6 linked regions of the Danio rerio genome follow. The protein of the gene in region 2 interacts with the protein of the main gene of each other region in a pairwise test. Links are inferred from orthologs where the notes say so. Each region holds a gene or a part of one and is shown on either strand. Other genes may lie near its edges.

Region 1 (4,664 bases), on a different chromosome or scaffold from region 2:
ACCCCTGGGTCCGTCAGTGTAATGCATCTGAATTAGACCTTGCTGAAGGGGAACTTTTAATTTTGCATCAGAACAGTTGGCAACCAGTGCACAGCACCCCACTGTGATTTGTTTTAGCTGGGATGTTTTAATTAAAGGAATGGTCATCCAAATATGAAATATCCGCCATCGTTTAGGCTACTTGCCCTAGCATTTTAACAAACAAGTCTGCCTTTTTGTTTCTTCCACTAAACATTACAGCTACCATCAATCAATAGCAATAAAATAGATAAAAAGCATGCCTAGCTATAGTTTTCTGTTTATTTCTAACTAAGGCTGCACAATATATTGCAAAATTTATAGTATATGCAATATACACTGTTAAAAAAATAAAGGGAACACTAAAAAACACATCCTAGATCTGACTATATTCTTATTAAATACTTTGTTATTTACATAGTTGAATGTGCTGACAATAAAAATCACAAAAAGATTATCAATGGAAATCCTTTTTATTAACCCATGGAGGTCTGGATTTTGAGTCACATTTAAACTTGTAGTAGTAAAACACTCAACAGACTGATCCAACTTTGATGTAATGTCCTTAAAACAAGTCAAAATGAGTTTCAGTAGTGTCGGTGTTACCTCTATGTGCCCATATGACCTTATACAGGTATAGGAAAAAATAAAAAAAATGCAAAAATAAAGATTAAAACAACAGCCAAACAGAGTCAGAATATCTGAGGGTTTCTGCAGGTTACACTACGATAAATTTAAGAATTTTAAAGACACTTTGAAGACCATTATAAAATAAATTTAGACCTATATCCCAGTTGGAAAAAAATGTATTTACCTAATCAAAAAATAATTGAACACATTTAATAATATAGTAAAAATTATAATAATAATTTAATAATTAAAAATAAAGGTCAGGTCAGTATCCTCAGCAGTGAATACATAGAGAACTTTAAACAAATGTTACTGTAAGAACAATTATTACACCATTATGGTAAATGGAGTTAAAATTTCTAAGTAAAAAAGTTAAATATTTAATTGAGATGGATTGTTGATGATTGTATGGTGTTGGTCAGATTGGATAGCTACACATAAACAAAGGAAAATGAAGACCTGATAAATAAATTAAAGATTTAAGTAGATTTAAGACTTTTTAAGGCCTAAAATTTATTTTTGAGACATTTTAAGACTTTCTATCCATCTTGCAGCCCACACAAAACAAAAAAATCTGAAGAATGTTGGAAACTCATCCATTGACATCTATAGTAGGAACAAAAAAAAAAAGGAATTATATGGCTGCTGCATTCCAGCATTCTTCAAAATATCTTATTTAGTGACAAAAGAAGGAAACTCGAACAAGTTTAGAACAAGTGGAGTGTGAGTAAATGATTTTCATTTTTGGCTGAACAGTCCCTTTAAAGTCTATGTTTTTCCAGTGCAAACATCACAGTTGGTTTTCACACTGGACATCTATGGTGTAAATGTGGTATAGCATAGCCATTTGGGGGAAGTTGTTTTTATATTCACACATTCAGACATTCGCGTTCAATTAAATAGTAAAGCAGAATTTAAATAGGCTAATAGCGGTTAATTATTATGATGTACTGTTATGAGCACCACACATTATATTGTTACTAACTGTAACTAAAAAGCTGATGAACACACTTTTCTGTATGGAAGGTCTGTATATTGTTTAACATACTAGTTTGAATATTCGGTCTGAATTCTGAAATCGCATGTATGACTTCCAGGATCGGACTTAACCAATGAGAGGGGTAAGCAGCCGCTTAGGGGCCCAGGGAATTAAGGGGACTTGACCAATGCGAAGAAGCCTATATTGCTCATTAAGCTTTTTTATAAGTTTTTTATCATATGTGGTAAAATCTGTCTACAACCATTACAAGATTGACATTATTACTACTAAGGGCCACCATAAATAGTGGAATGTTCCTTCCGTTCCGCACATGCAAATATTAAAATCTAATCACAAATATGGCTCCTTAACTGTACATAGTTTGCGAGCTTGCTGTTTGTGACTCTACAGTGAAAAAAAAATATCTACAGTATAGAGAAAGTAAGTGATTTGAGTTTCAATGCTAGGGCCCCATACCTGTAATTGCTTAGGGCCACTGATGACTTCAAAAGTATGACAAATCAACATTAGCACTATTTAATTGACTGTGAACGATGTAGTACTTTGATAGTCACTGGCTGCTAATATGATTTTCCCTATTTGGAATTTGCAAAGAATACTTTGTAATTATGAAATTACATTTAGAAGGTGAAATGCCACTACATGCAAAACTCACTTGATATTGTATAGTCCAGATCTGAGTGAGCAGCGATCAGGAAACTGGCTGAGTTTTTTGGACAGGACCTTGAGATGTTTCTTTGTCTCCTGAATTCCTTTATCCAGTTCATAGTCTGTGGAGGCTGAGAGAGGCAAACCGTCCCTCACTCTCACCACTGAGGCAAACAGGACCATAGACATCTTACAGAAAGCTCAGTTGACACCTGGAAGAACAGGATATTTAGGGCATTCACTGCATATAATGGCCCATTTACCACCCTCTTAGTTTTCTGCTAGCTAGAATAATCTAAAAAATTACATACAAAATCTAGACATATTTTACGAATTCTATAATATCATTCAGCTCTATGTACGTGGACTCATGACATCTGGTGCACACTGTGCTAAGCTAATAATATTAGCATGTTTGCTGACTTATTGTCATCATATCACGTTTGGTGATTGTCTTATGCGCTACAGAACCCCATATCTACAATAATACAGGCTTATAATATTTTAAGGTCAAGCTATTCTTTAAAACTATTCATCGCATTGATTTACAATGATGTGCAGTAGCGTTATATGGCTGTACTGCTACCATAGCAAGATACTTAACTAGACACTAAGCGACACTTATTGCAAGCATTAACACAGTCTTTCAGTGTACATACCTACTGACATGAGCCGATTAAAAATATATTAAGACATTATAACCCTTTTGAGTTATTTTGTTGATATACTATCTTGATCGTTGAGCTCTTCCTGCGGGTCTCATAGCGGACGGTTTTTGCTTACGTACGACACAGCTTCGGCTAAACTCGTAACAACTTCGGCACAGTCCCGGTTTCTCTTCGTATATTTTCGGAAAACATTCGGCTCTGTGACGGTCTCGGTGAGGTAAAGGATTATTTGTGGGCCACTGTAATCCACCGATGTTTTTTATGGAATAACCGAGATATTACAATCAGAAACAAATCATTTTTCCATAGGTGGATTTAAAATAATATTAATTGTATCCTTTGCTTGTTTGATGATGCAAGAAATTTGTTTTTGTTATGAACAATTTATAACATATCAGTTTCCCAGCTCATCCTAAAGAATTTAATAAAGTGGTTTAAGCAATTTCACCTGGTTTATTTCACCTAGTTAAAAGTCACTGTAGAACTAACCGACTTAGTGGATATTCATTCTCCTTTTAGTCTGTTAGATAAGGAATTTAACAATAAGTTTGTGTGTCAAATTTATCTATTTAAAAGGCACATTTCTTCTAGAAGAAAGATATATGGAGGACCTTCATTGAGTTTATAGTCTGGACTAGAACCAGGCTTTTACCTGGGAAATATTGCATGTCCAACAAGGCAAAATAAATGCATTTTACAATTTTACACAATTTATCCTGTAAGTTCTAGTATTTTTAAATTTTTGGACATTGACAGCTCCTGTTCTTTCTGCAAACAAGCAGAGGAGACAGTACATATGTTTTTGATTGTCCAATTGCTTTAGTCTAAAAGATATTATTTTTTATCATAATAACCCAAAAGATAAACCCCTGGAACACATAACTTTTTAAACCTATATGGCTAATTTTTCATTCACAAACAGAAATTTGCATAAAATTACCCTTCCTTTGCTCATTAGAATAAAATTCAACTTTCTCCTAAAATCACTTCATCTTATTAAGAATAATAAATAAAAACCCTAAGATTCCTGAATATTATACAGATGTATTTTAAGATTATCCTCGATTTTAGTTGCTTTCCTCATGATTATACTCGGGGCTTGACATTAACACCCGCAAACCCCCAAACGCGGGTAGATTTCAGCTGTGGCAGGTTAGATGATCGTGCACCCACAGTCCAGCTGAAAAATAATAGTATTATTCATTCATTCATATTCTTTTCGGCTCTGACCTTTGGGAACTTTGGGGTCACCACAGCGGATTTAACCGCTAACTATTCCAGCTTATGTTTTACACAGCGGATGCCCTTCCAGTTGCAACCCATTACTGGGAAACATCCATACACACTCATTTACACACATACATTATACGGACAATTTAGCCTACCAAAATTCACCTATAGCGCATGTCTTTGGACTTGTGGGGGAAACTGGAGCACCCGGAGGAAACCCACACAAACACAGGAAGAACATGCAAACTCCACACAGAAATGCCAACTAATCCAGCTGAGGCTCGATCCAGCGACTTTCTTGCCGTGAGGTGATCGTGCTACCCACTGCGCCACCGTGATGCATTATCCAATAAAAAATATATTTGATAAAGAATATTCTAAACTATTTTTATAAGCTAACCATAATGTTCCCATAGAAAAATTATTGTTTAATAATGTCACCGAATGTATATTAAATAGTACTATGATGA
Region 2 (2,872 bases):
AACTGGGCCAGAAAAAAATGTAAATCTGAAATTTCATTCCCAATGTTCTTAAAAAGGTCTTAAAGTCTTAGATTTGACTTGATGAAACCTGCAGAAACCCTGTATTAAGCTTTTGTGTGATTGAACCAAGTTCACATATTAAATTTGAAAAAATAAACACTAATAACGTTTTTTTAGAACTTTCTGCTCACATAAAAATTACAAACAGAAATTTGTGTCAGTTTCCACTGATAATTGATCGTTTATTCCATTCATAATAACATCAGATGTTTTTTAAATACCAAATCTGCATATTAAATTATTCAGATTCTGTCACTCTAATGACTGAAGTAATGATGCTTTGAATCACAAGGATACACTTTGAAATACTTTAGCATAAAGATGTTTAATATATGAAAAATATTTTAATAATAGTGTAAATAGTGTAATACTGTATTATAATAAGAGTGTAAAAGGCATTTTTCTTTTTTTAAAGTTTATTGATCATTGAAAATTAGAATTTTTTATGAAAATGTCAGTTTATATTAAAAAGCTCTCAACAGTTGAGCCCTGGTGTGTGTGTGTGTGTGTCGCTACAGTCACAACAGATGATTGAGTATTTACTGGTGTCTGTCTGTGAGATTTGTCAGAAGGTGTGCTGAAGAATTGGAGGATGATCTCGATCCACCAGAGAGTGTTTAAAATGCACTCGCGCTCTGGAGAGCTGGAGGTCCTACTTGACGGAACATACTTTATATATAGTCAGGTAGAAGTGAGTACAGTCCCTGGACTCTACTGCTTATACACACACACACACACACACATACACATATACAGCATGCGTTTCACAAATATACCACAGCAACATTAAAAGCCCCAATGCGCTTTGTGTGTGTGTTTGCACCAGGTATATTACCTGAATTTCACCGACATTGCCAGTTACGAGGTGATGGTGGACAAAACTCCGTTCTTACGCTGCACCAGAAGCATCGAAACCGGCCAGCGCAAGTTCAACACCTGCTACACAGCCGGAGTGTGTTTGTTACGAGCTCGTCAGAGAATCTCCATTCGCATGGTATACGAGGACACCTCCATCTCCATGAGCAACCACACCACCTTCCTGGGCAGTATCCGGCTGGGGGACGCCCCGTCTGCAGGACACACCTGATACCAAACCTGAACACATGCACAGATCAGTACCCAAAACACCCTCTGTCAGCCCTTACACACCAAAGCAGACTTTAAAAAAAGTTCTAGAAAACTGGTTTATGTGACTAGATGAGCTGAGAGACTATGTGTGTGTGTGTGTGTGTCTCAAATAGACTCAAACACACAGACGCACACACGTGCGCATGGAAGAAGTGAAGCTGCAGTGTTTTCAGGGACTGGAACTGCAAACAGAAGTGTTTATTTTTCTTCCAGTGAGAAACTCTACTGTGTTTCTATGCAGCAGACACTCAATCTTTACATTCAACAGCACACGCATAGCGAACCTGTGTACCAGTCTATTCTAAATAAGCACTGATAATGGCATTGTATTTAAAGCAGAATATCTATGTTCAGTTATCTCTCATCTTTTACACACAGTCAAGGATGTACAGTACCTGTTTTTAAGTCACAGCGTTCGGGACAGGATAGTGATGTTCAGCTTGATTTGCTCGTTTGGATTGGTTCTTTTACGCTTTATCTCTGTGCAGATGTTCAGGCACTGAATTTGATGGTTCCTTCATAATGCTTTTTTTTAGTATCCCTCATCATTCTGAATATGAAATACCCTACATCTTCTGTAGGGGGCAGCAGCGCTCCTCAACAGTAGATAAAGGCAGCACTAAAACGGTTGGACTAGAAGTGTTTGGATTAGAATACTGTTTTGCAGTAATTAGCATGCATATATATATAGTGCTCCGCATAATTGAGTACACCCCATTTTGAAAATGAATATTTATATCCATTTCTTAGTGAATCTAGGCTATGTATTTTGGTGCATTTACACTAAACATTTATTAAACAGATATATGTATTATTATATTATATATTAAAAATAACATTTTAGTCACCAAACATATTTAGAAATTGAAAGATAATACAATTAAATTAAAGCAAAATATTGCAAAATAATTTGCAACCTACAAAATTTCAACTGAATAATTCAAATTTTTTGCTTCTCTTGATTTTTCCTCTTTTTTAAAATTTGTATTTACTATTTTTCTATAACAAATAAATTTGGCTGTACTAGTTTTTGGAGCGTTATTTAAGTCATTTTGTTAGATAAGCTCCAGATTTGGCTTCAGTGCTGACTAATCTAATGTATATGCTCAAATATAATATTGTACAGCTTCCTATTAAAATATGAATTTAAAAGAGAGTTTTGTGAGGGGTGTACTTATATATGCTGAGCACTGTACATATATAGGGTGTATATAACCCCTCTGTGAAGTTTTAATTCTTTTTCAAATAATACACAAGTGTTGTTTAACAAAGCAAGGATATTTTAACAGTATTTCCTTTTCTTCTGGAGAAAGCCTTCTTAAGTAAATAGTAAGTTTTTCGCTGGGAGAAACTTCTAAAGTCAATATTATTAGCACCCTTTAAGAATTGTATTTAGATTGTTTCGATTAGCTACAAAACAAACCTCTACAGTGACTTGCCTACACTGTAAAACCCAACAGTCCACTTTATCAAATGAAATGAGTGCAGTTAACTCAAAATTGGCTGAAAGTTATTTCTTCTCGTATGAAAAGAGTTTTGAACTCAGTGTTGAAGGTAATGAGTTCATTAAACGCCTTATTACTTCAACTTAAAGGGGGTAAATTCACAGTCCTCATATAGATTATTTTTTAACTCAAATAATTTGTAGCAATCGGTTTCCTCAAACAGTTTGAGTTGCCTTAAC
Region 3 (4,787 bases), on a different chromosome or scaffold from region 2:
ATCTGCAGACAGTCAGTCACTTCATTACGAATACATCTAGGCTTCAGGTGACCCTTCACAGCTGTTTGATTGACAGGTGATCCAGCCAATCATAAAGCAGATATTTTATGTTCCTCCTCTCTCTCACTCACACACACACACACACTTAATCAACAAACAATCAACACATGCAATCAACAAACACATACAACACTACACACACGCCACACTTAATCAACAAACACCACACACTGGACACAAACACTCCTCAAACTGTCCAAAAAACACTTCACACACTGTACAGTATAACTCTACAAATATCTGCATATGATTCCAACATTATGTTTTCACAGTGTGTGTTTGTGTGTGTGTTTGTGTGTGTGTAATATTTACCACGGCAGCGCGGGCGAAGATGATGGGCAGGCCGAACGCCGACACCACGATGCCTGTGGTCAGGAACACCGCCAGCTCCTTACAGGCATTACTGGCCGAGTCGGAGTCCTCCACCACACGCCGAGAGATGCAGTGAGGGAGCGGACAGAGGATGTAGAAGAAGAGCAGGAACAACGGCCAGTACGCACTACACACACACACACACACACACACACACACACACACACACACACACACACACACACACACACACACACACACACAAACACACACACACACACACAAACACACACACACACACACACACACACACACACACACACACACACACACACACACACACACACACACACACACACACACAAAGTATGATTAACAAAGAACACGTTAATACAATCAAATACCACACACATGCAGAAACACACACACACACGCACGCACACGCACACACACACACCAGCGTTAAAACAGTCCAACCCCCCCCCAACCAAACAAACAAACAAACTCCAGTATACACAACACAAACACCAGTGTTAACGACTCCACACACACATTAGTGTTAACACAACACAACACACACCGGTGTTACAAACAAACTGCCACCCCACACACAAACATCAGAGATAATGCTCCACACACACCCGTGTTAATAACAATCACCACACACAAACAAACCAGTGTTAACAGCGCACACACACACTAATGTAAACCTTCAGACTCACTTGTAGACAGGTAAAGCACAGCCCAGCATGAGGAACATCAGGCCGATGGCTCCTCCAAACGACAGGCTGATCAGAGCTGAAACACACACACACACACACACACACACACACACACAGATTAAAGAGACTCCGCATGGCTGACATTCACAGCGCGAGTTCAGCGATGATTTAACAAACATTAAATCATCACTGGGCGAGAAAGAGGAGGAACAGATACGGACAGTGACTCGCTCGGGTTGCCAGATCTTGGTGGAACAAACAACAAACAAGAACAGGTGCATTACACACTGGAAACAAATTCAATACTTAATATTGAAAATACTACTGATATTCAGTTATCCAGACCAGTTTATTAACTCTAATAAAAGCCCACAGACGCTTAGAATAACTGGACATGGCAACCCTGCACAGCCTGCAGTGTGTGCATTTTGCTGAAACTTACATTAGACTTCATCCAGTTTAGTTGATCAGTTCCCCTATAGCGCATGACAGTGTGGAGGAAACCCACGTCAACACGGGGAGAACATGCAAACTCCACACAGAAACACCAACTGACCCAGCCGAGACTCAAAACAGCGACCTTCTTGCTGTGAGGCCACAGTGCAACACCACTGAGCCACCCCTGTGTCACCCCATTATTATTTTCTTCATCTTTTATGATTATTTACATCCTAAACGTTTGCACAATCATGACCGCTTTAATTATACATAAAATTGTTAGTCACTAATTATCAAAATTTCCCAGAGATAGTTTGCAGCTGGAAGTGCCTCCACTGCATAAAACATATGCTGGAATAGTTGGTGGTACATTCCACTGTGGCAACCCCTGATTCAGGGACTAAGCAGAAAAGAAAACGATTGAATAATTAGCAAAAGTCTAATGTAAGGCTCGGTGCTGTCGCACTGTGAAAATATAAAATATGGAAATATTTTAGTTAATATTTGTATTTTTTAATATTATATTTTATAAATGTTACTTCATATGAGCTAAGATAATCAGTTGAATAAATAATTGTGATTGTGGAATAAGACAATAAACTGTGAACCCTAAGAGCACGAGTAGCCCCCGTGTCTCTCTCTCTCACACACACACTACTCATGCCTCGTGAGAGGTCAGATGACATCACAATCCTTTGTGTGTGTGTGTTAATGAATATAGATGTGTATGTGTGTGTATAGTTGAAGACAACACTATTAGCCCTGCATGTTTCATGATGTTTAGAGCAGAATTGTATTCTCAGTGCTTCTGTTTAGTTTTTCTTCTGTAGCCTTATTTCTGAAAACTGCTGTGGGCAATATTATTAGACCTGTAACGAACTAAATAATTATGTTTCGATGACTTGCCTAATTAACAGGTTAATATGAAGAGTTTAGACGCAAAAACTCCTCTAAAATGAGCATTTTTATCAGGCTCCTGTGTGTGTGTGTGTGTTCAGTATTGTCACTTTTATGGCAAAGAATAAGTCCTTTTCCTTTACATATTTTTTGAAATATCTCAACATAAACAAAGGAGGCTGAGAAAAAAATGTTCATTTTCGATGGAAATTTCAGACAGCACTTAGAGGTTTTTGCATCTGAACTCTTCATATACTAGTTAATATAATAATGTGTATAGACACACACACACACACACACACACACACACACGTAAATATACTCAGACGTGTACATCCACACACAAACACAACAGACAGTCTGTTTTATGAAAGGATGTTAATCTCTACTAAAAACACAATATAAGTTACTCAAATGTACAGAAAGAGAGAGAGAGAGAGAGAGAGAGAGAGAGAGTGTGTGTGTGTGTGTGTTTGTGTGTGTGTGTGTGTGTGTCTGTGTGTGGATGGAGGCTGTAGATCTGCGGCCGCTAATAAACCTCAAACAGCTATCGCTTGAACACTATACAAACACACACACAGAACACACGCGCACACTGAGAGGTGTTTACCTTTAATTCCGGCCATGGCGCAGGTTTATAAACACACTAATTAATTACAGACCGAACAATTAAAGCTGAGGAAACTCCTCGCGCTGATGATCCTCCGCTCCGCTAGCGCTGCCCTCCACACTGCGCATGCGCGGAACAGAAGCCCTTCCGGTGAGCATCAAAACAATCGGTAAATGGGATACAGCTGCGGATACTCGCATCACATCAATAAAGCGTTTTTTTTAAACTGTGCAAGAATAATTAATATTTTAACATTACTGTGAAGGTTGGGATTGGGGTTGGAGAAGAGTAGACGTTATTAAATTACAACTAATGAGTACTTTAATAAGTAATATGAATAATATTTTGAATAATTACTGTTTTTTACATTACTGTGAGGGCTGGGTTTAGGGTCGGGGTAGGCGTATTGGTGTAGACGTTAATACAACACAACTAATGGTAATTTAATAAATAATTCCCCGTACTTTCCGGCCGCAGCTGTATCCCTTCTAACACGCCGTCCCTTTATGATTAAAAATAAAGGAATAAAATCACATAATTTTCCATTGAATACCATTTATTTTTATGCGAATTATAATGCTTGCTTTATGAAAAATTTAATGTTTTTATGCACGTTCTATATTCATAAATGCACATTTTCAATTTGCAAACGCGTCGTTTTTGTAGTATTTATGCAAGAAATGTAAATTATTTGATAACAATCCCAGATTCACCTAACAAGAAAGCACTTAAAACATAAACAATCTGCACAGCCTATAATTTGTTTAATTTAATTCGTTTATGGCGGGTAAAAGGCACTAAGCCAAAAAGAAAACGAATGAATAAATGATAATTCATTTATAAAAATGTAATTCGTTTAATTAAATAAAATTATTTAATTATTATTTTTTATGCTTTAATATTTCTTAAAGGAAGTAAAACTATTTTTTACTACCCATTTACATTTAAAAATAAAGAAATTTCCATAAACCATAAGTAAATTTATAAAAAGTCCTCTTAAAGAATTGAAATATCCTTATGTTTGAGCTGCAGGTCAGTCCTTGGACTTTGTGTTTTATGTTTTATATGAAAAGTCAATTCACATCAAAGATAGTCTAAATGTAAATTCCTAAAGTAGTGCATTTAGTCAAAATTATCGCTCTAATAAATTGCATTGTTTTTATAGATAATTGTTTTTAGTATTTGGTTTATAAAGAACCCGTTTTGCTGGAACATTGAGAGACAGTTCGTGTCTTTTATTTTGTATGTACGGTGTTGTTGTCCGTGCGTGTGGAACTGAGAGGAGGAATGGCGGCATCAAGTGGAGGAGGAGCAGTGCAGGCGGTTGGCAACGACTGGATTGAGAATGGTCAGGAGTGGGGAGACGGAAATGACGGATCAGGAAATGAAGTAGAGGAGATGGAGGGTAGCGAGAGTTGCGAACCGTGGACAAACTGTAGAGGTAAAAAGCGGAAAAAAAGAAAAAACAAACTAGATAGTGACGAAGAAATGAGATCCAAAGTAAAGGAAGGAAATGAAGAGTATAATGTGTTTGTTAGACTAGTACAGGAAGGGGCGACATTTGAGGATTGGAGTCCTATACAACTAACGAAAGCTCTGTATAAGGAGATTGGGGAGGTAAGATGTGCTAAAAAATTAAGGAATGGATGCTTATTGGTGTCATGTAAAGATGAGGCTCAACAAAAGAAAGCAATCAAAGTAAATAAAATAAATGGTAAAAAAGTGAAATGCTCTGAGGTCTATGACAG
Region 4 (4,274 bases), on a different chromosome or scaffold from region 2:
CAGCAAGGTTGTAATCTCAAATCTCAAAGCATTACATGAAAATCTTCTAAATCTTCAAACTACAGTGAAGATTAAACTCTAACAAGTCTTTCTATTAACTTTAAACACATAAGATTACTTTTATTGTCAACATTTCACAATCTTAATTCAGTCCCACACAAAGTATGCTGAACTACAAATCCCCTAACCAGGTAGTTGAACCAACACAAAACGCTTAAGTTAACTTAATGGTTTACAAATTTAAGTGGATTTAACATAAAACAAAGGCAAACTCCGCATTGAAATGCCAACTGGCTGGGACTTAAACAAGTGAAATTTTTTGCTGTAAGATGTTTGTGATAACCACTGAGCCATCATGCTGCCCTTGAAACAATATTTTAAGGTCTTTTTGACGTGTAAGCCACCAAACCACAGCACTAAAAAATGAAGGAATTAAATTAACTTAAGTTTTTACAAATTTAAGTGGAGAAAACATAAAAAAATTAAGTTGTCCCAATAAACCCTCAATAAGTGTGTTGTTTTAGCTTATTTTAAATAAGTGGTTTGAACAAATACAAATAAAAAATAGTTTGAACAAACAGCAAATGTTTCGTTTTTTTTTTTGAGCAACCGCATAACTTCATGCTAAAGAGTGCTCCAAAAATAGCTTATGGTATCAACCACGACGCCCTCAGGGTGTCACATTTGCATTTTTATTTATTTATTTATTTTTTGCTTTTGTCTGTCTTTTTTTCCCAGTAAAAAGTAGTTTTATGGTGGTATTGTAAAAGCAGAATCTTGTAAATAGCAAGTTAGTTTAAAAAAAAATCTTGCTAACCTTTCATTTAAAAATAAAGAAATATATGTTTATATAATTAAGCGCCACACCAAAAAGATAGTTTATTATTTTGTTTATTAATTAAGTCATAAATGTAAAAAACATTACTTGAGATAAGAACAATTTACAAAAAAAATATGATGAAAAGGAAGAGGGAAAAAACTTAACTGTTATAAACTTTACATAAATTTATCACATGAATAACTGCTGATGAACTAAATGCATTTTTCAGTATACTTTTTGCAAACATCATGCTTTAAAGGCCAGTTGAGCAGTCATTTGGTTTGCAAAATAAGTTAAAAAGCTACTTTTAGTAGGTCTTCCATCGCAAGGCTGAGAAAATGGTGTGGGTGAAATACAGTAAAGTGGTCAGGAAGGAAAAAACCTGAAATTAAAGACACACAGAGAGTCAACATACTTTAGACTTCAACGTTTAAAACGTGCAGTAAATTTTTAAGATTTTGTAAATTAATGCTTTTTCATTCGTGTTCAAATATTTCACCGTTACTTAATTGTTTTTTATTTAACAGGTAAAACCGATTTAAAAAGAGACTACACAAACTCACCACAGCAGCAATGTCCAGCTGGTAAATAAGGAAAAACATGTTATCTGGCTGACTCCACCCAATGGTTACCAAAGCTAAAAGCACAGATGCGCTGAGATAGAGGACTGTGGCACATCCATGGTATGCTACATCCTGCAGAGAGAAAATTAACAAAACATATAAGATCAAACACAAAAGAAACGATTAAAAAAGTGAAGATGTAAAGAGATTATTAACTCACTGCGGTTGCCCAGGATTTTCTGTTATGATGATACCCACAGACAAACACCATCAACCACAGGAAAGTAGTGAGGAAGCAGGCTATTGTCACAGAAATCACGTACGCCTGAGGGTTGTAAGGTATGAGGTACGTAGATGCCACCAGTGACAACGTCAGACCGCCAAAGATCTGAGAAATGAACATAATAAATAACGTTCTTGAAGTTACTGATCAAGAAAATGTAGGCTAATGTACATAATGAAAATTATGATGGAAACCTCTGTTTTTTGTAAACATCTGAATTGGACAAATGGAAATATGACGCAAAATAGATGAAATAGAAAATGAAAGCTTCTCAAATGTATTAGTAATACCTGATCTATTGGACACTTTTGGTGATTATAGATGTGTGTGCTTTTATTTTATGTTATCATTTTCTTTCAGTTTAACCTTTTATTTTAATTTGAATTTTTTATGTAAAATATTATACAATCATTTTAATTATAAAATACAATACAAATCTAACATTTTACAGTGACTTTTAGTTGGTTTTTCACTTTTAAAAATGACAGATTAGCACTTTTTAAGTATGTATTTATTTACCTAATCAATAGTTTTTAAGAAAATTACTTTAAATAAGCTGACTTTAATAGTGTACGCTTTGGATTAACATTTTATTTTTACATTCTTATCATCATTATAAAACCACAAAATCTCCTTTAAAAAGTTATTAGAACAGATATTAGATTCTGCACTAAACTTAAATTCAATTGGCACCACTGTCTTGCTTGGTTGGGATGTGTGCATCAATAGATTTCTCTTCAGTATTTGGACTTTCTGCAGTGAAAATTAAAGCACACTGAACTGAACTAAACTGAACTTCAACTCTCAAAACTAGAGTGACACATTTTCAATGTACCAGAATGTCTATGTTAAGCTGCTTTGACAAACTAAGTTAGGAGCATAGCCTGCATAAAGCATTTAACAAATTAAATCAACTCACAAGCTCTGGAAGGAAGAGGATGTCAGGAATGATGCAGAAAATTGCCCCTCCGCTTGGTAAGTGACCCAATGGGCCAGTGTTGGTTGCCATATGTGTGTCCTTTTAGTACACGTATAACAAATGTTTAAGGAATTCAAAAGACAAGTTCTATTAAAGAGCTGACAAAAATGCTAGACAGACCTGTTCATCTTGACAGATCTGATGGATTCCATAAGGACACACCCATCTGCTTTATTTATAGTATTTTCTAGACATTTACGTGACAAACACTTGTTTACGAATGGTTATAACGACTGATATGGCGGTACATTAATCAAGTAGAATGTTGTAAAAATCAACAATCATTTATTTAACAATAAAGGAGGATTTTCTTGTTTATAATGAAGCACCACACCAAAGAGATTATTAATTGTTTCCTTTATTATACAAGTCATATTTGTAATAATTTATACTTTAGGTGAGAACAATTTACAAAACAAATACCAGCAGAAAATGTTTTAGAAAATTCATAGTATATGCACTTAAAAGGTGAAGAGCAAACAGGCATTTTACACTATTATCACTTGAATGTCTTTTGCTTTGCTTTTTGAAGATATCATGCTTAAAAGGTCAGTTGTGAGGTCAGAGTGCAGATGTTTTTAGAAAGACTTCCATCTGATGGCTGAGAAAATGGTGTGGATGAAATACAGCAAAGTGGTCAGGAAGGAAAACACCTGAAATTAAAGACACAAAAGTCAATAGACTGTAAAAATGCTGGATTCCATTCAATTCATTTATGTTAGTACAAATTAAGTTAACTGTTTTTACTAATTTAAGTGGATTTAACATAACAATTTAATTGTCCCCCCAAAACTCAAGAACTATGTTGATTTAGCTCATTTTTAGTTGTTTGAACAAGCAGCAAAAAATATTTTTTGGAGTGTACTGTTGACTTTGATGAGTTTTGTACAATGTGTCTTTGGTAATCTTGCACTGTAAAACACAACAGTCAACTTTATCAAATAAAATGAGTGTAGTTAATTCGATTTACAGAAAGTTATTTGTACTTATTTGAAAAGAGTTTTGAACTCAGTATTAAAGGTAATGAGTTAATTAATACCTCATTACTAAAATAGAATAGGTTCACAGTACTCATTTACATTAGTTTTTTTTTTTTTTTACTCAAATGGTTTGTAGCAATTGGTTTCCTCAAACGGTTTGAGTTGCCTTAACTTATTGGGTTTTACTGTGCTCAAATTGTTTCGTTTACTCAAATGGAGTAAGTTCACAGTACTCATTAGGATTAGTTTTTAAACTTAAATGGTTTGTTGCAATCAATTTCCTCAAATGGTTTGAGTTACCTTTTTGGGTTTTACAGTGTGGTAATCAAGATTTTTTTCGGAATATTTATTTCCATTGTCCATCAAAGGTAAGGCTGAAGACAGGGGTGGCAATAGGTGGGAAATTAGGACAATTCTACTTTCCCACTTTCCACTTTCCCACCCCACCCACCAAAAACCCCTAACTCCATCCAACTCTCCCTCCAACACTTTCGTCAGGCGGAACAAACATCCCCCCCCCTCATTTTCACTTGCTTCTACGACTCTCTCCCCTCTTATAATATTCATCTAGACCCTTCCCCACTCGGCTCGATTCAATTTAGTCTGCAATCCACTGTCACGCCCCATCACTTATCACTTTAGTCCATGA
Region 5 (3,527 bases), on a different chromosome or scaffold from region 2:
ACACAAACAGCTTTGCTGTATCAGCCCTGACAGCATCGCAGAGAAACACATGCAACAAACCCCTGTGAATCATGGAAACAAACACATAACGTTACAACCCTTCATAAATGGCTAAATACCGCTTGCTGTACGTGAACGCAGTTTCACGCAGACATTGGGTCTCACAGCTTGGCAGGTCTGCCTTGATTCGTGCTTGCACGTGCTCTCATGAGTAATTAAGAAGCAGGGTCTTCTTATAGGATAAGAAAACTCCGCTATAAATAATAATGAGAAACCAATACATCATCACTCCACTAGCAGATTCACGCTACTTCACTGGTTTTGATCCCACCCCAAAAATTAGTTTAAACCCGGAAGATAAAATTAGCTGACAAAAGCTCAAAATTATATAGTTTTTCTCACAATTTAAGCTAACAGGTGCTAACATTGTCTTAACTGATGCTCAACACACACACACACACGTATTAAATGAATACACTAAGCTGCACCAGCCGTTGCCTTGATTTGCTCGCCGATGTCTTGTGCATTGCACTTATTCTTGCCCTGGCCCTTATCTTATATACAGATTTATTTACAAAACAAACAAAAAATTACATTAAATTTTAAACGACTATCTTTGTCAAAGATTTTCACTTCATTGACCTCTCCATCATTCTCCCTCTCTTTTAAAATGGGATGGTGGGCTTACTCTGGCCTACATACCCTAGTTTGGGCGTCTCTGCTCTAGAGTTTGAGCTTGTGAAATTCTGTCAGTGCTGTGAAAAGGGGTTGGATTAAACAATATGATTAGACATTAAAAAATGAGAAATTGCTCCATACTTACATAATTGCTGTACAGAAAGGTCATGTTTTGATCATCTATTTTTCTCACGCTATCACGTGATGTGATTTCGCAGGTCAGAGTTCACCAAGCTTGAACTGTGCAACACAGCAAAATGCTAAACTTTTCGAACAAGCTTACATTTCCGGTCTGCAGCATTTGCATGCGTATACAAGTGGGAGCAAGCGGAAGTATACAAGGCGGGAGTAGACCACGGCTTGTTTTTGAATCTACCACTATGCCGTCACACAGGGATGGACAAAAATACATTGAAATGTATTTTAAATTAAAATACCAAATACCTTAATTTTACATGTATCAAAATAATCTACAAAATACAGCAGCCACAACAAGTATCAAAATGAAATACTGTATTTTGTATGCTAGCAGGCATATTCAATCAATCCCTTCACTGTTAAACTGACTTAGTGAAGTAAACAATGCTTGATAGTAACAGCTTATTTTCTGAGCAAGTATAAGTCAGCCACTGTAGGACTTGTTTATGTTGTTGGTCTTATTTTCTTGGCATCTACATCACCAATTCATCCAAAAATACTATTATTTGTGCAGTTTAAGCATTCTCCTAAGATGACATCATCATGTAGACTTCCTACAAAGTATTTTAAAAATACAAAAATACAAGACACTAAAGTATTGACACAAAACTTATAAAAAAAAAAAGTTAAAATTAAAAAGTTATTTTCATAAACCAATGTATTTCAATATATTTTAAATACTTGTAAGATAAATACTGCTTATCCCTGATGAAAAATAGGCATTTGTGGCTCCACCCTCTTCTCAAAAGAGCACGATCTCATTTGAATTTAAAGTGACAGTCACCAAAATGGCAAAATTAGGATCAAAACCTAAAAGGGGGAGATTTAATGAGCCATAAACTATTGTTTGTGATGTCTTTTGAGCTGTAGATTTCATTCACACACACAGACAGCAACAAACAAGCTAAATTCACAGACATGCATACTGTACGTGTGCTCGCTTGGGAGTGTTAGCTCCCATCCAAAATTACACCAGTTACCGACCGCTTCTGCGCTTTATTCTGAAATTTATTCCCGCGCCGCAAGAAATCTGGTCGGGTCTGCAGACCTATATTTTGAGCTGAAACTTCCCATACACACTCTAGGGACTTCATTTACATCTTGTAAAAAAAGGGGCATAATAGGTTCCCTTTAAGCCTGGGGTCTCAAACTGGATTTCTAGAGGGCCGCAGCTCTGCACAGTTTTGTTCCAACCCTAATCAAACACAGCTGATGCAAATAATCTAGGTGTTTAAGACTACTAGAGACTATTAAGCGGTTGTGAATTGAAGATGCTTGGAGCTAAATTACGCAAAGCTGCGGCCCTCCAGGAATTGAGTTTGAGACCATTGCTTTAAGATATTATTCAGTTTGTTCCCATTACTGCATAAATCATAAACGGTTTATAAAAATGGATTAAATATATTGAACATATGATTAATAACACTTCATTAATACACTTTACACATAAATGGGTGGCTCCCAAAAACAAATCCATAATAGGAATCTGAATAATAAAATCAGAAAGGTTTTCTATTTATTAAACGATGATAATCTTATCTTCAGGTCAACTTACTCAACGTTTGCTCCTGAGGGCATCCTGGCCAATGTTTTAGGCTTGTTGTTGGTGTGCTTTGGGGTGCTGGTGGGTTACGTGGTGACCAAAGAAGATTTCAGGCGACCACCGAATCCTGAAGAGGAGGCTTTGTCCGTCCATTTCAAGACCCTGTCAGAAGGAGAAATCCCCAGTTCTCCTTAAAGTCATAATGTGCTCCAGAAACAGCCCTTTCTGCTCTTTCTACCCATGTCTTATTAAACATTTAAGCCAGCTCCTCCATCTGTAGTCTTCTCTCGCCGCCATGTTCCACCATCCCAAAGGGTTAGTTCACCCAAAAATGAGCATTTACTCACTATTTACTCCTCAAACCTTTATGAGTTTAACAAATCTGTTCAATCCAAAAAAAGATACATGGAAAAATGTTGGAACTCTTTGACTTCCATAGTAGGAAAAACGAATGGTACAACATCAGTTTGAGAACTAAGGACATGCTGATTTAAGAAAGTGATGCAAAAGTGACTAAAAATGAAGTAAATGCTATATACAAAAAATTGATTACAGGGTAAAACTACTTCCACATCACTTGGTGAAAAACACTGAGTAGAACATTCCCACCTTGCAGTTTTGTGTCTAATAGATGTCAAAACATGAATGTCTTGGTTAAAGTAGTTTGCTACTAGAGAATGATGCTAACAAAATCAAAGCCCCGCCCCCTACTCAATATTCCATTTGATTTGGAGGAAAGTCAACACACTGAAAGAGAAGTCTCAGCAATTTCTGGTTCACACAGACTTTAAAACAAAAATGCTAGCTGGAATAAGTGATTACCTGGACCCAGTTTTTCAAAAGTAATCCAGAGGGATTTTGGATCATAAATTGGATCAAATCTTGCAAATGGGTTTTTCAAAAGTAACACAGGGAGTTTGAATTAGGATCAGACCATGTAATCTAATCTTACATTTGATTTAGATCAAACCTGCCCTTTTATTAAAAAAAAAAAAAAATCAGGTTATTCAAAACTTTGAACTCAGATTGCAATCTATTTAATATATAAAAAAACAGGATTATCCCGATCTCATCGGAAGTGTGGATTCAGTTGTGATATATTTTAACT
Region 6 (3,510 bases), on a different chromosome or scaffold from region 2:
TTTTTACAAATCTCTTGAACGATTCATTGACTTACTCATAAAGGCTTGACTTGAGTCATTACTCAAAGAACCAGTATGTTTTAACAAATGCCATAAACGATTCAATGACACGCTAAAATGTTTTATATAACTAGTAAAATGTTATGTACTCACCCTCACCATGGGGAAGATAAAAAAGGTGATATTAGAAATTAGTTAGTTAAACTATTATGTTTAAGGCAAAACTAAATGAGTTGAATATGACTTATCTGTCATCTGTTGAACCTTCATTTTTGAACAAATTTCTTAAATGATTTAATGGCTCACTTGACTTCGCTTAATTCATTATTGGACAAATCAGCTTTTTTGCATGAATCTTGAACAAATGATTTATTGTCGCCACCTACTGGCATGAGTCAGAATAAGATTGAATCAATATTGTGATTTTTAACAATTAATCATGCAGCTCTAATGTTGTATTTTACTTGATTCAAATAAATATTGTAACAAACATAACGCAACATAAGGGACAGATCACCCAAAAATGAAATTTTTCTCACTATTTACTCACTTTTACAAACTTTTATGAATTTCTTTCTTCTGTTGAACACATTCATTCATTCATTCATTCTCTTGTCTGCGTAGTCCCTTTATTAATCCGGGGTCACCACAGCAGAATGAACCGCTAACTTATCCAGCACATTTTTACGCAGCGGATGCCCTTCCAGCCGCAACCCATATCTGGGAAACATACACACACACACTCATACACTACGGACAATTACTAGCCCTCCCAATTCACCTGTACCACATGTCTTTGGACTGTGACCGGAGCACCTAGAGTAAACCCACGCGAACGCAGGGAGAACATGCCAACTCTGCAAAGAAACGCCAACTGAGCCGAGGATCGAACCAGGGATCCAGCGACCTTCTTGCTTTGAGGTGACAGCACTACCTACTGCGCCCCTGTTGAACATAAATATTCTGAAACATTGATAATACGCAGCCATCTAACATCCATAGTAGGAACAAAAAATACTATGGAAGTCAATGGAACAGAACAGTGTTCAACAGAAGAAAGAAATTCAAAGTGGAGGATGAGTTAATGATGAAACATTTATCATTTTTGGGTGAACAATCTCTGTAATGTAGCGGCTAACATTAAAAACAGGGACCTTATTATAAAGTACCCATATTTCGTTCAAAATCCAAAAGAAGTCCAAAACTAGCGCGGTACCGTAGTTTATGAATTTAATATGTCTGTGCATTGGCATGAGTGTGGTTTTGACCTCATAGCAGCAGGAGGATGTAGAGATACAGAGGAAGCAGAAGGTTGTCAATCTGCGACGTATAGGCCTCCAACATGGCCACCATAGAGATGGATCCCACCACCCACGAGTAGCTGGCGTTCAGGTTAATACTGCTGTCGGCGATGAGGAAAACCACCACAGCGATAATCTGAGCGAACACAGAGGACGCCGTGCCCTCAAATGTCTTCTTAGTCCCAGGCCAGCGGATTTCACCCACGTTGCTGCCGAAAACGGATGCCACTGTGTCCCCGACCCCTACAGCAAGGACTCCAGCATAGGGTACTAGCCCACTAGCGCCCCCTAGGCCTCCTTTTGGGGTGCACATCCCAGGTGTCAACCACAGTGGAAGAGAAACGCCAAGAAGAAGATAAATATGAGTGAGAATAAGTGGTCCTGAATCTCTCTCATCAAGGAATAAGGTGAGAAGACGTCGAAGCGGAGCCCCGAATGGTCGAATGCGAAAATAGCGGACATATTCGAGAAACAAAAATGCAGAGAGGCAAACAACCGCAGACAAATGCAGCAAAGGACGATCCAGAGCGAGTCCGGGAGCGAAGGTTAAAACGGTGAGCAGGTGGAAATACTTCCGCACTGTCGTTGATGCTTGATGCTTCTTGCTGCCTGCAGATCGATGACTATTTTGATGCATCACAACGGCAACTGCTAGAAGCGCCAAAGCGGCCCAAAACCCAATGAGCCAAAGTCGAGTGTTTGATTCAGTGATGAAATGCATCAACCAAGTGATTGGATGGTGCTGCGTGAGTAGAGATAGCCAAGGAACCAATAACCCCAATCCCAAAACCGCAGTCATGGTATGGAAGAAGAGCGACGCTGACCAGGTTTCAGATTCCATGAATATAAAAAGCACGGCGAAGAATATTCCCAACAGCACTAACCCTAAAACAGCTACCGGGAGGAAATACGGAAGCGGGTCTGAGTTTGCATTTCCAGACGAAGCCAGAGAGCGCTTAATTAGCTGGTTGATGATAAAACTAATCCCGCCAAGGATCAGAAGGGCTTCGCCGGGGGTGAAGCAACGTGGAAGGAGGTACAGCAGGATTAAACTTAGATACACAAAAATCAGAAGCACCTCCAAGACTTCGATGACCTCAGACACTGTTAGTGTTTGCTTCACGGTGTACAGAATAGCACTACTAGCAATTCCGGCGATAACACAAGTGTTTGTTGGCACCGGCCGCGTGATTCCCAATGCGATGAGCGAGAGGAATAGAGCCAACATCATTCCGATTACTGTGATGACCATTGCGAATCGCTCCATGTAGACGTTTCCCACAGCGAGGCAGCGGCCTCGTAGGGTGAGTCCCAGTAGTGGCAGCACCATACTGGCTGGCAGGACGCCGCTGTTGGCTGAAGGACGAAACTGGAAGACGGCGGCACCAGAGCGAATCAGACGATCCCATTTGTGCTGCACATAAAAAGCCTGGACGGCCAATGCCATGCAGCACCAGGACAGCTGATTCCACACGGCCATGTGTACGGAAACCACCATGGCGAACACCACCGCAGATTCAACCAGCACTGGATCCATCTGCATGACTGCAGAGTGTGTGTGAAGGTTTGCAGAAAAAAAAATGATGGACTTTCTTTTGTGTCAGAAAGTTCCTGGTGCACTAATAAACATTGTCCACTTCTTGTCCTCTCACATACAGCCAGTTAGACCTGGGTAAAGACACATTCAGAAAAAAACAATCATTAGACACAAAGATACAAATAATATCTAAACAATAATTGAAAACACTCAATGCTATAATTGTAAATTACGATATCCTGGAACAGATAGGGCTAACGGATTCGACATGTTACCAGAGGAGGGAGAGGTGTCGCGGATGAAAGTGGAGAGGGTTGGGGAGTCACAGAAGAAAGTGAAGAGTCGTGGGGCGGGGGTGCGTGTGAGGAGGGGGATCAGTAAAATAAGGTGCTGGACCAGATTTCAGAGGTGCCAGATCCGGATCTGACTTGTTCCGGTACAAATTAAGCCCTGGTAACACTTCATTTTAAGTCACAATTTCCGGTGTTTACTAGTGGCTTATCATCTTACATTTGATCTTATCGTATCATTTATATTTATGCATTTAGCAGATTCTTTTACCCAAAGCCACTTACACCCATAACCACACACCCAGGGAGCAGTTGGGGGTTTAGTGCCTTGCAAAGGAATTACCTCATGGTATTGAGGTGGATATTCCCACCAACAATCCCT

Evidence for each region.
Region 1: the proteins of eda (region 2) and sec22a interact in binary tests that used the Homo sapiens proteins (3 or more experiments, as listed by UniProt). The two-hybrid records come from large-scale screens. The link is inferred for Danio rerio from reciprocal best matches to the Homo sapiens genes EDA and SEC22A.
Region 3: the proteins of eda (region 2) and zgc:92045 interact in binary tests that used the Homo sapiens proteins (3 or more experiments, as listed by UniProt). The two-hybrid records come from large-scale screens. The link is inferred for Danio rerio from reciprocal best matches to the Homo sapiens genes EDA and LEPROTL1.
Region 4: the proteins of eda (region 2) and mala.1 interact in binary tests that used the Homo sapiens proteins (3 or more experiments, as listed by UniProt). The two-hybrid records come from large-scale screens. The link is inferred for Danio rerio from reciprocal best matches to the Homo sapiens genes EDA and MAL.
Region 5: the proteins of eda (region 2) and cyb561 interact in binary tests that used the Homo sapiens proteins (3 or more experiments, as listed by UniProt). The two-hybrid records come from large-scale screens. The link is inferred for Danio rerio from reciprocal best matches to the Homo sapiens genes EDA and CYB561.
Region 6: the proteins of eda (region 2) and dolk interact in binary tests that used the Homo sapiens proteins (3 or more experiments, as listed by UniProt). The two-hybrid records come from large-scale screens. The link is inferred for Danio rerio from reciprocal best matches to the Homo sapiens genes EDA and DOLK.

The regions. Positions count from the first base shown.
Region 1 is NC_133184.1:39,560,688-39,565,351, reverse strand, and holds the start of sec22a (vesicle-trafficking protein SEC22a), read right to left. Parts: upstream 3,110-4,664; 5' UTR 2,960-3,109; exon of another isoform or gene 2,956-2,959; intron 2,509-2,955; 5' UTR 2,486-2,508; coding exon 2,304-2,485; intron 1-2,303. UniProt on the Homo sapiens protein: May be involved in vesicle transport between the ER and the Golgi complex.
Region 2 is NC_133180.1:37,397,266-37,400,137, forward strand, and holds part of eda (ectodysplasin-A), read left to right. Parts: intron 1-620; coding exon 621-745; coding exon of another isoform or gene 746-751; intron 752-886; coding exon 887-1,147; 3' UTR 1,148-2,872. UniProt on the Homo sapiens protein: Cytokine which is involved in epithelial-mesenchymal signaling during morphogenesis of ectodermal organs. Functions as a ligand activating the DEATH-domain containing receptors EDAR and EDA2R. May also play a role in cell adhesion.
Region 3 is NC_133189.1:363,520-368,306, reverse strand, and holds the start of zgc:92045 (leptin receptor overlapping transcript-like 1), read right to left. Parts: upstream 3,175-4,787; 5' UTR 3,056-3,174; coding exon 3,040-3,055; intron 1,171-3,039; coding exon 1,095-1,170; intron 560-1,094; coding exon 373-559; intron 3-372; coding exon 1-2. Other genes in the region: F-box/LRR-repeat protein 12-like, read left to right, coding at 4,327-4,656. UniProt on the Homo sapiens protein: Negatively regulates growth hormone (GH) receptor cell surface expression in liver. May play a role in liver resistance to GH during periods of reduced nutrient availability.
Region 4 is NC_133186.1:32,864,566-32,868,839, forward strand, and holds mala.1 (mal, T cell differentiation protein a, tandem duplicate 1), read right to left. Parts: upstream 2,712-4,274; 5' UTR 2,676-2,711; coding exon 2,586-2,675; intron 1,772-2,585; coding exon 1,604-1,771; intron 1,516-1,603; coding exon 1,384-1,515; intron 1,203-1,383; coding exon 1,128-1,202; 3' UTR 876-1,127; downstream 1-875. UniProt on the Homo sapiens protein: May be involved in vesicular trafficking from the Golgi apparatus to the cell membrane. Plays a role in the maintenance of the myelin sheath, and in axon-glia and glia-glia interactions.
Region 5 is NC_133178.1:21,562,542-21,566,068, reverse strand, and holds the end of cyb561 (transmembrane ascorbate-dependent reductase CYB561), read left to right. Parts: intron 1-2,421; coding exon 2,422-2,614; 3' UTR 2,615-2,732; downstream 2,733-3,527. UniProt on the Homo sapiens protein: Transmembrane reductase that uses ascorbate as an electron donor in the cytoplasm and transfers electrons across membranes to reduce monodehydro-L-ascorbate radical in the lumen of secretory vesicles.
Region 6 is NC_133196.1:5,409,483-5,412,992, forward strand, and holds the end of dolk (dolichol kinase), read right to left. Parts: 5' UTR 2,845-3,510; coding exon 1,270-2,844; 3' UTR 787-1,269; downstream 1-786. UniProt on the Homo sapiens protein: Catalyzes CTP-mediated phosphorylation of dolichol, the terminal step in de novo dolichyl monophosphate (Dol-P) biosynthesis. Dol-P is a lipid carrier essential for the synthesis of N-linked and O-linked oligosaccharides and for GPI anchors.